Mus musculus: one gene and its partner. The protein of the gene in region 1 purifies or fractionates together with the protein of each later gene. This does not show direct contact. Links are inferred from orthologs where the notes say so. Each region holds a gene or a part of one and is shown on either strand. Other genes may lie near its edges.

Evidence for each region. Proteins that work in one complex are often made in the same cells at the same time.
Region 2: the proteins of Stk11 (region 1) and Cops8 purify together in Homo sapiens (affinity purification with mass spectrometry; 3 studies listed by BioGRID and IntAct, with this or other methods). This does not show direct contact. The link is inferred for Mus musculus from reciprocal best matches to the Homo sapiens genes STK11 and COPS8.

What each region holds. Positions count from the first base shown.
Region 1 is NC_000076.6:80,112,440-80,119,613, reverse strand, and holds the start of Stk11 (serine/threonine-protein kinase STK11), read right to left. Parts: upstream 3,820-7,174; 5' UTR 2,997-3,819; coding exon 2,707-2,996; intron 2,667-2,706; exon of another isoform or gene 2,027-2,666; coding exon of another isoform or gene 1,791-2,026; intron 1-1,790. UniProt on the Homo sapiens protein: Tumor suppressor serine/threonine-protein kinase that controls the activity of AMP-activated protein kinase (AMPK) family members, thereby playing a role in various processes such as cell metabolism, cell polarity, apoptosis and DNA damage response.
Region 2 is NC_000067.6:90,600,631-90,607,963, reverse strand, and holds the start of Cops8 (COP9 signalosome complex subunit 8), read right to left. Parts: upstream 4,540-7,333; 5' UTR 4,415-4,539; coding exon 4,337-4,414; intron 3,590-4,336; coding exon 3,519-3,589; intron 2,501-3,518; coding exon 2,452-2,500; intron 1,428-2,451; coding exon 1,295-1,427; intron 1-1,294. UniProt on the Homo sapiens protein: Component of the COP9 signalosome complex (CSN), a complex involved in various cellular and developmental processes.

The sequences.
Region 1 (7,174 bases):
GGGAGGCAGAGGCAGGCGGATTTCTGAGTTCGAGGCCAACTTGGTCTAAAAGTGAGTTCCAGGACACCCAGGGCTAGATGGGGGAAACACAATACAAGAAAACAAAACACCAACAAAAAGCAAGCATACAGAGGCATTCTCCTGGTGGTGAGGGCATCAGCTGGAGAGAGATCCATGCCTTCCACTACACCATACAGACAACATGGAAATGGAAGAGCCTCATCCCCACCGTATTCTGGGTTGGCTTTATCAACCTGTCTCATCTCAAAGTATATCTATGCACAAGCAAGTGGCAACAAGGCCCATGCACCCAGGGGGTTTACATGGGGTTTTAACCACACAAAGCCCCACAGGTAAGGCAGAGCAGGACAACCACAGTACACTTGAGGGGTGGGGGGCTTCAAAGCCATAGAGCCATAGAGCTAGCAGCAGGTCACCAGCAACTTCCTCAACTCTCCTATCAGCTGGTACTAAGATCATGCTACTTGAGGCTACAGAGATGGATCAGTAGCCAAAAGTACTTGGCTAGTCTTCCAGAGGACCTGGGTTCAATTTAACATAACAGCTCATAACTATCTCTAAGTCCTGTTCCAGGGGATCTGACACAGATGCACATGCAGGCAAAACAGCAATGTACGTTAAAAAAAATAAAAATTAAAAAAAATTATTGCGACTTCTCACAGTGGGGATGACAGGAGCCAAGGGCACAGGTCTCTGCAGCCTTGCCAGGAACGGAGGCACTACACTACCTGACGCCCTGGCATGCATCCACAGTATGGTACTGGAAGGAGAAAGCTCTGTGTGCAGACTGGAGGACAGGACCCCAGAGGCTTGCCTGGAAGGTTCCAGACACTTCACCGTGAGAGAGACAACAGGAGTGCAGTCTATTAAGCCCCTGCAGACAAAGGAGCCTTTCTGCCCGCACCAGCTGTTGCCCGCCAAGCTGCCCCTTCCAGGCTGTGGCTGAGTGGGGATCACACAAGCAGGTGCAGCAGCCCTAGGCTTTGCCCTGCAGGAGCCACTCAGGAAGTGGGGAACACCAGCACTCCCATGGAGATACCTGGCTTTGTATCCTGCCAGTCAAGCACCTTACTGCAGGGCAGTGTGTCAGTCTGCAGCTTTTGCCTCAGTTTCTCCTCCTGGTTTTTATCTTGTGTGTGTATATACATGTGCCACAGCATACACATGGAAGTCAGAGCAAACTTGTGAGAACTGAGTCTGCTTTCACCTTGTGGGTCCTGGGGCCTTCACCCTACCAACCAGTTTCCCTTATAAAACCAGGTTTTCCCATGCACTCCTAGCTGGTCTAGAAACAGAAGCAATCCTCCTTCCTCAGTCTCTCCAGCACTGCAATGAGAGGCATGTGTCTACTTGCCCAGACCAACTCCTGTCTTGAGGAACCGTGCAGGCTCCTTATATCACCCTAGTGTGTAGGAGCTCCCCAGTCCTGATGACCTCCAGTGTTGACTGTGTCCAGCATCACTAATTCATGGGGGGGGGGGTTTACTTCAGGATCTAGGGACCAATCTCTCTCAGCTGAACCTGCCTGGCTCTGCAAGCCACACCCCAACCTGGGTGTTGAGATGGCAGGAAGCCTAAAGCAGCAGGTGAGGGCTAGGAAGTCGCAGACAGAGCTCTGGGGCCCTCTGTCACAGGCAGAGAGAGCACACAGGCTTGCCATGTGTTACAAGGACTGCAGCTGACCCAAGCCAGGATGCAGGCCTGGGCAGCCTCCCAGACATGGTGGGCTTCCAAGAACCATTACCCTGAAGCCAAAGGAAGCCACTTGCCTTGGAGACCAGCAGACACCACCTGGAGGTGAGCAACCTCTGGCACCTCCACCTTGAGACAATGATTTCAAGCCAGGAATTTCCAAGCTCAGGCCTCTGAAGGAACACCTGATGCTGGGTGCCCAGGTTCCCCAGTGCAAGACTGACCTAAGACCACTCCTACAAAAAAGGCCAAGGAGGTCCTGAGAGGAGCCTAGGCCACCAGCCTGCCCTGCTCCACCCCTGGGTCCACACATCTGATCCTGGATATCTGTCCACCTTCCTTTCCTGTACGTACCACTCAAAGCAGTGCCCAGCTGGCAAAAACAAGAAGCTGCCAGCCTTTCCTGGGACAGGACCAGAGGCAAGGTCAGTTAGGCAGAGTGTGGCCAGTGCTGGTCCCAAAGATAAGGCCCCTTCTTGGAAGCCGGTAGGTGAAGTTTTCCAAGTTCCGCCAAGCCTAGCAGGCGATAAAGAGTCCCCACGGGCCAACGACGCCAACTACGCGCACGACACCGCAGGGACCTGCGCAAGCACTGGCCGGCTACCCCCCCCACCCCCTTCACCATTATTTTTGGCCCCACCGGTTCCCTCTAGCTGCGTAAACAAACTAGCCACCCGCCTGGCAACGCCCGCCAAAGAAGCCAGGCGCGACTTGCGCCAGGACCTGGCCCAAAGAGGGGGGCTGGAGGCGCAGTTGGCTGCACGACCTCCTGCTAGGACAGTCCTGCAGGCTGCCCTAACATACAGACCCCACGAGGTGACGCTCAGGGATAGATGGGGTAGATAAGGCAGTAAAAGGAAAGAGATGAAAAAGGAGGAAGGAAATGAGAAGAGAAAACGGTTAGAGGAAAGAGAAGAGCCAGAAAGTAGGAGGAAGGGCTGCCCAAGGAGCTCAAGGCAGCGCCCGCGTCGGCCCCAGGCCCTTGGCACCTACTTCTTGACGTTGGCCTCTCCATTGGGGATCCTGCGCAGCTTTTTCTTCTTGAGGATCTTGACCGCCCTGCGGCATAAGGTCTCGGAGTCCAGCACCTCCTTCACCTTGCCGTACGAGCCCTCCCCGAGCAGGTCCCCCATCAGGTACTTGCCGATGAGCTTGGCGCGTTTGCGGCGCGGCTGGTAGATTACCTCGGTGGAGTCGATGCGGTGGATGAAGGTGTCCATGCCCACCGACATCAGCTCGCCCTCGGAGAAAAGGCCCAACGGCTCGGGGTCCGCCACGTCCATCCTGGCCCACTCTTTGTCCTCGTCCCCTTCGGGAGCGCCAATTCTTTTCAAGTTCGAATTCCCCCCCCCCCACCCGCTTCTTCCAAATGTTCCAAGAAGGGGAAAAAAGGAACGGGGAAAAACAGGAACGACCTCCACAACTCTCCCGGTCCCCACAACCGGGTCCACGTCCGCTTCCTGGGCGCCAATTCTTCACTTTTGATTTTCCCCTTTTCTTCTAGGTGCTCAGGGAGAAAAAAAATGAAAATAAGAATGAAAAAAAAAAAAGCAATGAGCCCCCCCAACCCTCGCGTCCCCCCAATTCGGGTCCCCGGGGACGCTGCTTCCGACGGAGGCGACGGTCCGCCGTCGCGGCGCGCGGGCCGCTAGGTCATGTTCGCCACTTGGGCCCCGCGCTCAGGGGCCCAGGCGGCCGCGTCGAGGCCGGTCCGCGCCGTCCATGTCCGGCCCGCGCCGAAGCCGCGCGCGGCCCCTTAGTTCTACGACTTCTCGGGGCGCAGACTCCACCCGGACGCGGGACACCGGGACACCCGCAAGTCGCGGACACGAAATCCGGACAGGAAATCTTCCGGGGACCGAGGGGGGAAAAAAACCACCCCAGGCGGCGCGTCCCCCTCGCCGCCTAGCCGCCGCGCGACAGGCAGGAGGCCGGAGCGGCGAGGGGGGAATCGAACTCCAGGCAGAAAGATGCTGCCCGCGAGAGACAACTCCACGCCGGCGCCGCCCTCGGCGACTCGCGCCTCACTCGCGGACGCCGTGAGCCGCCTCCCCTTTCCTAGACCGACACGCCGCCGCCATCTTGTTTACCGCCCTGCGCCGCGCCGTCGTCGCACGTCGCAACGGTGGACACGCCCCCTCGCGGAGCCGACGTGCGCGGCAGTTGGCTGTAGCTTTAGGCCCCACCTTTCGGACCCGCCTCAATCGCCAACGAGGATTGGGCTATTTGGATCTAGGTGGGCGCCCGAGCTGACATTGGACAGTTCGGGTTCCATCTGAGAAGGCGTGATCTAAATTCTCATTGGTTGTCTGAGACGCCCGTCAATGGGAGTAAGCAAGCGACTGTAAGGGAGCGGCCGTGGGCTGTGGCTTCAAGCCCCGCCCCTCAGTGGTTGGCCCTGGTGTGTGGGGGCGGGACTTTATTTGCCAGTGGCTGTCGCAGACGCCCGTCAGCAAGCGCGACGGGCCAGCGAAACCTCTGGGCTGGCTGTGGTGACCTCGGAGTTTCGGGCCTCCGGTTAGAGTTCACGCGCGTCAACGTCCTCCGGGGAACGGCCGCGACTGGAGGCATGGGGGAGGGTGGAGAGAGAGGCTCGTGGATCCCTAAAGAGATCCAGCCCAGGCTTGCTCTTAACGGCCTTGGGGGAGGGGTCAAAGGTCAAAAAGTAGCCCAAAGTCGACACTCCCGAACCTGAAGCCTTAATGTAGCGCCTCTGAGATCCATGGCATAGAGAGGAGCGTTTCCTGTGCAAAATAAGAGCAGCTGGGCTGGTGAGATGGCTCAGAGGTTGCGGGCGATTGACGTCAAATCTGACTTCATGAGTTCGATCCCCGTAAGTTCACAAGGTGGCTAGAGTGAAATGCCTCCCTCAGGCTGTCTCTGAACCTAGGGACTCCGTGGTAGGCGCGCGCGCGCACACACACAACACAGAATTTTAAATAACAGTTATCAAAAAAGGTGGCTGGGTAAGACGTCGCCGCTGGCCTCAACTCACCTGCTGCAGTGTTTTTGGGTGGTTAATCTAATTATTTTTATCTGTGCCCTTTTTTAACTGCACGAATAAAAAATAAGGGTTGGAGTATGATTGAGGGACGAGTGCTCACCCTGCCTGACTCCCTCTACACACAAGTTTACGCACAGGCCGGTTACAAGGTCCATAGATCCGTGAGTCTATGGTTCCCTCCGAGGCCACTAGGGGGCGGGGTGTACTGCCAGGAGAGTCCTGGGGGAGGGAGAGACCTAGACTCCAGGAAAGGTGGGAAAAGTGCTTGCTCTACATGTGTTCAGCCTTCAGGACTTAAAAGGAGGAGAGAACTGACTTATGCAAGCACATAAATTAAGAAAAAAGATCAGAGAAACAGACGTGAAGACAGAAATCCAGGGAAAACACAGACTAGACAAACAGAGTCAGGCTGGATGGAGGGACAGGTCAGGGGTGAAGAGCACTGGCTGCTCTCCTGAGCACACAGGTTTGCTGGCCAGCACCCACATCACACAGGGAGACTCTGGAGTTTCACCTCCATTTCATTGCTCTGACATTGCCTTAAACTATGGCAGTGATAAGGAAGTCTCCTCCTCCACCTCCACCCTTCCCCTGACAGACTCCAAGGACAGATCCAGAAAGAGTCAGGGGCAATAGACAACATTCTGTTTCTACCCGATCTGTACCTGAGCTCCCCCAGTGTGACAGCCTCTCATGTCCCCAAGACATTACCCTGAATTCTCTGACGGGAAGAGTTATCACTCTGGTGAGAACTCTGGGTCAGAGATATAGTTAGAAGTATTTAGAGATTTATCATATTTACCTGTGTGTATGTCTGTCACATTCAGGACCCCACTGAGGCCTCAGATACCTTGGAAATGGTGTTGCAAATAGTTGTGACCAGGCATGTGAGAGTGCTGAGAACCAAAACTGTGACTTCCAGTAGAGCAGCTACTTTGTAAATTTGGGAACTCAGTACCACTTCAATAACATGAATTATCCCTGAGAGGCCGCAGATTCCAGACCATAGAAGCACAATGGGAATGGTGCCTGGGGTGGGGGGTGGGGTAGAAGCCACCAGGAGGGAAAACTTCAGACTAAAGATGAAGCCTGCAGCCAGGCTGTTTCCATCCCTGCTGCCACATACGTCACACTTACAGGAGGCTCAGGCGGTGGCAGGAAAGAGTTCACCCTCAACTACGTAGTGAGTTCCAGGCCAGCTTGGGCTACATAGTGCTACCATCTCTGTATTAGTCAGGGTTCCCTAGAGTCACTCAACTTATGGATAGTGTCTATACAGTAAGGGAATTTGTGATGATGACTTACAGTCTGCAGTCCAACTTTCCAACTACAGTCAGCTGTGAATGAAGTCCAAAGATCTAACAGTTGCTCGGTCCCACAGGCCAGTAGATTCCAACAGCTGTGCTGGCAAAGAAGAGGGAGTCTTCCTTCTTCCAATGTCCTTGTAGGTCTCTATCAGAAGGTGTGGCCCAGATTAAAGGTGTGTACCACCCGGCCTGGATCTGGGACTTGTTTTTTCCCAGGCTGACCTTGAACTCGGAGCTCTCCCTGTCTTAGTCTCCTGGGACTCATAGTCACTATGCCTCAAGATCTCCATGCCAAGATCCAGGTCAGAAACTTGTATCTTCCAGCCTCCAGATCAGGATCACAGGTGAGCCTTCCAATTCTGGATTGTAATTCATTCCAGATATAGTCAAGCTGACAACCAGGAATAGCCATTACAACCTCCAAAGAAGCAGAAAACATAAAAATAAAAATATCAAAACTAGGGTTGGTGAGATGGCTCAGTGGGTAAGAGCACTGACTGTTCTTTTAAGGTCCTAAGTTCAAACCCAGCAACCACATGGTGGCTCACAAACACCCATAATGAGATCTGATGCCCACTTCTAGTGTGTCTGAAGACAGCTACAGTGTACTTATGTATAATAATAAATCTTTGAGCCTGAAGGAGCAGAGTGGACTGGATCAAGCAGGGCCAACCAGAGCGAGCAGAGGTCCTAAAATTCAATTCCCAACAACTGCATGAAGGCTCACAACCATTTGTTCAGCTACAGTGTACTCATATACATAAAATAAATCTTTTTTAAAAATATCAAAACTAGGCCAGCAGTAGTCATTTATGTCTTTAATGCCAGCACTTGGGAGACAGAGGCAGAGACATGTGGATCTCTTTGAGTTTGAAGCCAGCCTGGGCTGTAGAGTGCAAGAGTGTCTCAAGAAGAAAAAAAAGGAAAAAACTCTAATAAATGTTTGGATAATTTGAGCCAAAACACCCCACCAGAAACTGTCCAGTGAAAACCTCTAAACTCACTGGGCAGTGGCGGCACATGACTTTAATCCCAGCACTCAGGAGGCAAAGCTCTTAAATTCAAGGCCAGTCTGATCTCCAGAGTGAATTCTAGGACAGCCAGGGCTACACAGAGAGACAAACAAAAACCATGTATGAAAGTCTCAATA
Region 2 (7,333 bases), on another chromosome or scaffold:
CCTGCCAATGAGCTTGTAGTCCAACCTGGAGAAGGCAGCTTGCGTGTTCACCACATAGTTACCAGGCTGAAGCCAATCTGTCAATCCTACCTTCTGGTGACTCCCCCAGTGATGTTTCCTAGACAATCCTACTTCTGGTGACTTCCCTAGTGATGTTTCCTAGACTAGCTCTCAGGCTGCTCCAGGACATTCACATGGCCTCATTCCATACTCCCCCTTCCAACCCCACCTACCCTGAAATCCTGCTCATGTTTACTCACAGCAGCTGTCTCTGTTTTGTTGTGTACACTGTTGAATGCTGGTCCAGGTACTGCTGCTAAGAGCTGATTGGTGCAGCTCCCAGCAATCCTTACCCTCTGCTGCCTGGCACACCCATGTCCTTACCATGCTGAGAAGGACCAGCCCACTAACTTAAGGAATACCCACTAAAGGCAAGTGTTCACTACAGAAACGAGGTGACAGGAAGAACAACGTAAGAGCTCATTGTATGATGTGTGTGGTGGGCCCACAAAGAGTGTGTATGCATTCTGCTCTTACAGGACCAGAATCTGTTTCCTAGCTCCCATGCTGGGTGGCTCAGAAATGTCAGTGAGTCCACTCCTAGAGGATACAATGCTGCTTGCCTGGATTGGATCCCCTGAGCAATAAAAAGAACTCGAGTGACCCAGAAAGACCCAAAGCATGGCAACATGAGAAAGGAAGGCGGCAGGGGCAGAGCTATCATGTGTCAGGGCCACACCATGCCAGCCTCTAACCTTACACAACTGAGCCTCGAGGCTCCTTGACGGTTCCTTTTACAAGATGTATAGAGGGGACATAACAGTTATCAAAGACCAAGGTTGACAAAGTCCAAAGTCTAGTTGCTACTTTCAAATACACAGACAAAAAGTCTTGACCTGCAGATACCACGACCTTTCGATTATTGCCTGGTTTCATGTTAGCAGCAAAGAACACTTTCACAAGGCCACACGTGAAACACACCAGTAACCCAAAAAGGAAAGGGCAGTATGGACTACACAGCGAGACTCTGTCACAAACTTTCTGTTACCACAAAAGTAATAATGAAGAGGATAAAAGATACTGCCAATGAGCTAACTGCGACCTGGAATCCACAGCAACACCCTCTGCTCCTGGTCTATTCCCCAGAATGCCCAGTACTGAGACGAAGAATCACAATCAGCTTAGATCTAGCTCAAGTCTCAAAGGGAGTCCCAAATCAGAGCTGTCCAGTTTATCAGTACACGCTCCAAGGACAGCCTGAACGCAACATGACTTAACCACAAGGAAACACTACCTCTAAGGGCTTCCATGATTGGCTGCACAGTCTCTGACCACTGGTGGGCGTTGATGGTTGTATAGATCCCAGGGAAATCTCTTTGCCAGATTCGCTGTCCAACTGACCAAATTCCCCCAAGTTCAGAATTTGCCTGAAATAAAAATTGTTGTCTTTGAAAGCATTCACTGTAATTAATAATGATCATATCTTTAAAAATATCAGAAATGACAAAATTTGTTAGCTGTATCATTAAAATATACTCTATTCATTCATTTTAGGAGATGAAATTACTTTTCTGACAGGTGTATCCAGCGTGCAGGCCACAGGGCTAAGAACAGGTATAAACTGGGAACCCTTTTCTTCTAGGTAACTTGCATACCCAGTTCTAGACTATGAACTCTGCAGATGATAACACTGCTTTGCAATGTCCAGAGGTTGGCTCTGCCTGATTCTAAAATGCTGTGAGCAGTTATATTAACAATTTCTATAATTAATGTTTTTATTGCAACTACAAATGAAAGCATGAGAAAGTAAAATATACTTCAGAATGAAGACTTGGGATCAATTATTGTAGGCACTGCTGTTTAAATTTAAGACGCTAGCACTTCTCCATGGAAGAAAACTAGCAGAAAGCTGATTATCAAGGCCCTGTCAATTAGAGCCTACTTGCAGGGCTCCCACTCTTATCAGCTGAGCTGTTTCATTCTTATTGAGTGCAGCTCCCGTCTTACAAACAGAATGGAAAAGGAAGCAAGTGAAATAAATCTTACTTCCTTCTACCTGGCAAGACACTTTTCACAGGTTACTTCATTTATTTCATCTTCATCCCAAGTAAGACATCTAATTAAAACAGTGATCTTAATGCAGTGAATATCTGTGTAAACAATGCCAGTTTACAAATAGCTATCATTACAGCAAATCAAGTAGTCTGCTGAAATGCCTCAGCCCCTCAGCCCCCTCTGTACCGAACTGGCCAGTTCACATCAGCATGGCAGGCCTTGTGAAACCATCAGCACATGAACCATTCCATTAGAGAAACAGATGGTTTGGAACTTTAACCTTCACTTAACAACGGTTCCTGTGATATATATGGGAAAGAAAGAGGACTTGTAGGCTGTCATTTAAGTAAATGCCAGTATTCTAAAAGCAACAGGGGACACCGCAGGATTACTTACAGACTTTATAGCAGGTGGTATCCTCTTCCACAGATATCTTGCATTATTCCTGATTTACACAAAGATGAGTTACAAAATAGTCACCTCAGTCAATACATAAAATTACAGGCCGAAACACCAAAACAGGCCATGGCACAACTCAGTTTTATATGAATTTGTTGAGGAAAAGCAATTAAAAAAAAAAAAAAAAAAGGAGGACATGAAATAACCTTTTCCCAGGTTAATTAAAAAAATTTTTTTTAGGAGTTCTTTTTAAACTAACAATTCAGATCCTAAACCATAACAACACATTCAAACCACAGACTTACACACAACCACTCAGGTACAAACAATGTGTCCATTTCGAGGCTTTGGGTATCCCTCGCAATACAGGCATACACTGTGCTGTTATAATCTGGAGCCCTTCTCCTAGTGAGTCGTAAGACACACGATTATATGTATAATGAAGAAACTCAGTGTAGTTTCTGTAAAAATATCACAGTAGGTTTGGAACTGCACCAGGCCTCTATTCTCTAGCCCTCTCAAGCTCCTGCCTCCCACCCAGGAAGACTAATTCAAACATGTCTACCTCCCCTGGTTCTCCCAGTGTTCCTTCCCAGCCCCAGCTTTTTTGCTCCTACTGAGTACATATACAGTTGCTTTGGTTTTATTTGTTTGTTTGTTTAGATAGGGTTTCTCTGTGTAGCCCTGGCTGTACTGGAGCTGGACCTATAGACCAGACTGACCTCAAACTCAGAGATCTGCCTGCCTCTGGCTCCCAAGTGGGAGGATTAAAGGTGTGCGCCACCACCCAGTTTCTGAGTAAATATAAGTAAAAAGAAAAAAAAAACATGATTTTTTTTTTAAACTCCATTGGTTCTTGATGCTAATTTCTCACAAGAACTTACCATGTTTTTAGGTGTATGTAAGACATACACGACAAGAAAAATATCGAGCTTATTTATTCTTAATTATGACAAAAAGGGAAACAGATATAACAGGATTACAGTAAAAGACACCTATCTGCTGCATGTACTCCTGCATCATCTCAAGGAAGCTTTTCGTTTTAGGTAAAAGGTGCTACTTACATGTCGTTCTGGAGCAAGTACAAAGCTAGAAGCTGACCGTACACTGGCGGTGTGGCAATTCCTCCAGGAGCCTAGAGAGCGAAAAAAGAGGGGAAAGCCTCACTTCCTAATACACTTTCAGAAAAGAGAAAATGAAAACTTAAAAAGTAAGTTTTCCAGCACTACTATAGATGCAGAAAAATGCTTAGGGAAGTATCAAAGGTTAAAACCTGAGTTTAGATCTGTTGTGAGCTGTCATTTATCTGCAGTTGGATATCAGTTTCTTTCCATAGTCACAAATATGTAAGTGACATTACCTCGGAAGGTCAGGTCTCAAATTAAAAAAAAGGGGGGGGGGACTACTTCCAACAGGTTCTTAATGCACTATTTTTCTGGCCGTTATCTTAAAAGCTTAAGTAAGCTTAAGACAGAAGACTACCAAAAGGTAGTTATAGAGGCCTGTCTCTCTTCAATCTTTATTCATTCAGCAAGGTCTGCTAAAGGCTCATCCGCAAGCTGCTGCTGTCTCCTTTAGTCCGTGAGCCCCCGCCCTCCCTTTTTTTTTTCCTTTTTCTTTCTTTTTTATTTTTATTTTTTATTTTTGGGGTTTTCATAGTTCAAGCTGGCTTCGAATTCACCGGCAATCCTCTCGCCTCCGCCTGACGTGTGCCCACCGGAGTCCTGTGCCACTGCGCCCAGCCTATTTAGCGAACTTAACTTAACGTTACAAATGGAAGCAGCATCTCTTGATGAACCCGGAGTGTGCGCCCCGCAGGCCGCGGCCCGGCCCGTTACCCTGGAAACGGCGCCCACCCGACCGCCCCACCCTGCGGCGCTACCTCGAGTTCCTGGTTCTCGCACTGATCCAACAGCTTTCTGAAACTGAAGGCGTTGTCCGCCATCACCGCCACTGGCATCTTCCCGGCCGCTCTCGCCGCCACCACCTCTGCCAGACCAAAGCACAAGCTGGCCCTCGGGGCGTCGCGCCCGCGATGAGGTAAAGGAGCTGCCTCTCAGTACGCATGGGCGAGCGTGTCGTCACTTCCCGAGCGACGCCGTAGCGGAATACAAGGGCGGCGAGCGCTCTGCCCCAACGTCTCGGTGCTCTGGAGGACCCGCCCCAGGCTAGGACGAACCGGCTTTCTGAGTCAGAGCCCTGCGATCCGGAAGGGTTCGGCTGCGGCTCGGATTATCCGCACGGGGAAATGATAACGGGACTACATTTTTCCACAACCAAAGTTGCCGTGGGAGAACAGTAAAACCGTTGGACCTCCACGTGTTTCGAGAGCGCTGAACTGTACTTCTTCTAAGCTAAAGTGTTACATACAAGTCCAAGAAACTCCAAACCTGAAACTCTTCTTGGTTTGGGTTATGCACACACCCCTCTTCTAACAATTCACTTAGCAGCCTGACTCTCACCTACACCTACTATGCGCACGCGCACGCGCACACACACACACACACACACACACACACACACACACACCTTTTTCTGAAAAAAAAAAAAAAAAAATCACCTAGCAATTGTCAGCAAACCAGGACCCCTGTTCACAACCTGCATGGAACTGCATGCAGACAAACCCTCTCCAAGTAATGGGATAAGTTTCTTCGCTCTCTGCGGACCATCGAACAGATTCTATTCAGTAATAATCCAGTTAGGTGCATTATGAGGCCAGGAGGTCTGATCTAGCCTGAATTGGTTTTAGGTGCCTGCCCAGGAGGGTGAACCATGTCTTCTAAGTGAATTTGCTGAGAGAAACTCCTATTTACTGTCTTCTGCCTGTGCGTGCTTGTGAACGCTTTTGATTAAAATCAAATACATTTTAATAATAAAATTATTTAATAAAATTCAATAATTTTACATATTGAGACATGCACAATAGAAAAGGGAGGTAACATAACTAAATTGTTTTTTCTGTTTTTGTTTTGTTTTTGGTGTGTGTGTGTGTGTGTGTGTGTGTTTTGGTTTTTCGAGACAGGGTTTCTCTGTATGGCCCTGGCTGTCCTGGAACTCACCCTGTAGACCAGGCTGGCCTCTGCCTCCCAAGTGCTTGGATTAAAGGCTTGTGCCACCACTGTCCGGCAAAATTTTTCAATCAAAACAGAATGCAGTGCTCCTTAGCAATAAGACTCCTCTCAAAGCTCATAAAAACCCCAAACAGTAATTGGGGCTCTAGAGTATGCTGGCTCATGTGGCCAGCGGTCACTCTTGACAGCATATTTCTTTCTGATCTGTAGTATGGCTTTGCTTTTGCATAAAGTTTCCTTGCTACTTTGCAAACCTGGGTGCCTGAATTTCAGTTCTGGGCATGAGAGGTAAAAACACCCAGCCAGACCCTAGTCAGTGCTCAGACACAGCAAGCAATGGTCCGGACACCACACCTGCCCCCTGCTGTCTTCTCTGGCAGAACTGGAGACTGGAACACAGGCCTCGTGCATAGTTTTAGCACTGAGCTGTGCCCCCGGGTCTCCTTTTACTTACTGGTAGACAAGGTCTTACTAAGTAGCCCAGGCTGGCCTTGAACTTTTGGAAAAGCTCCAAACCTAACTCTCACTTCTCTCTCTGCCTGCCTCAGGCTCAGCAGACCAGCACAGTGTTATCACCTGTGTACCTGTGTACATCTCATGTGCGCGTGCACACATACACACATACACAGACACACACAGACACACCAGAGACACACACAGAGACACACAGACACACATACACACAGACACACACAGACACACACAGACACACACACACACACACACACACACACACACACAAGGTGAGTGAAGTCTTTCTAGCCTGGGCCAGTGGTGTGCCCGACCTTTCCTGGTCTCCTGATAAGCAAGTCCCCCTTCACTATTCCCTGCCCAACGTCTTTTCTTTGAAGCACACACCATACCTTTTTGTTCTTCTGCTCAAACGCATGTGAACAAAAGTTCCCATAAAGAAGCTATCCCTTACAGACTAATTGACTGACTGATTAACGTTTCAGGGGTTGGGAAGAGGTTGGGGGGTTGCAGGTTCATAGTATAATGGTACTTTATCCTGGCCTGTCTTCTGTTCCCTTGACAGCTAGCCCTTGCCCAGGTGTGTCTGACCTAATAGCCTTCTGACTGTTGAGCGAAACCATTTGAAATATCGTAACTCTATGGGCTCCTCCCTCCTTGGAACTGTGTACACATTGCTTACTCAATTATGCTGTGACTCACTTTCCTCCTGTGATATGGAGGCCTGCTGACCCTGTGCCATTTTTTCCCCCAGGAAGTTTTATGCTTGGAGTATGGAAGTCAACATTGGCATATAAAAGCAAGGAGCCTGGAAACCCCCTTCCCCACAAGGTTGACATACAGCAGAGTCCTGGCCAGCAGAATGTATGCACAGTCTGTGGTTAATGCACACTGAGCCTTTGACCTTTCTCCAGCTCTGCCCCACTTCATCTCTCAGAAGTGCATTTTTGCCTTACTGAACTCTCTCTTCTACTGTTCCTATCCACATGTCTCTGTCTATATCCTTGTTTAGGGACTTAAGAACCTAGAAATCTCTGGGAGTGCCCAGCAGACCCCATATTTGCCTATAACACTGGTGTACTGAATGCTATATGGAAAGGCAGTAGACATTCTTATGACAGATTTCCCTCAACTTGTGTGTGCTCTGTTTTCTTAATGTTCATCACTGGTAAAGCCCACATTTTAGATAAACATATTAAACAGTTGAAGACAGTAACAGCCAATGCTGATGATTTCAGTGTAATAGAGATTCCTGTTTAGAAACAATTATGTTTAAAGTTCTAGTTATAAAGATTAGGGGATGGAGAGATGGCTTGGCAGTAAAAGCACATGGTTCT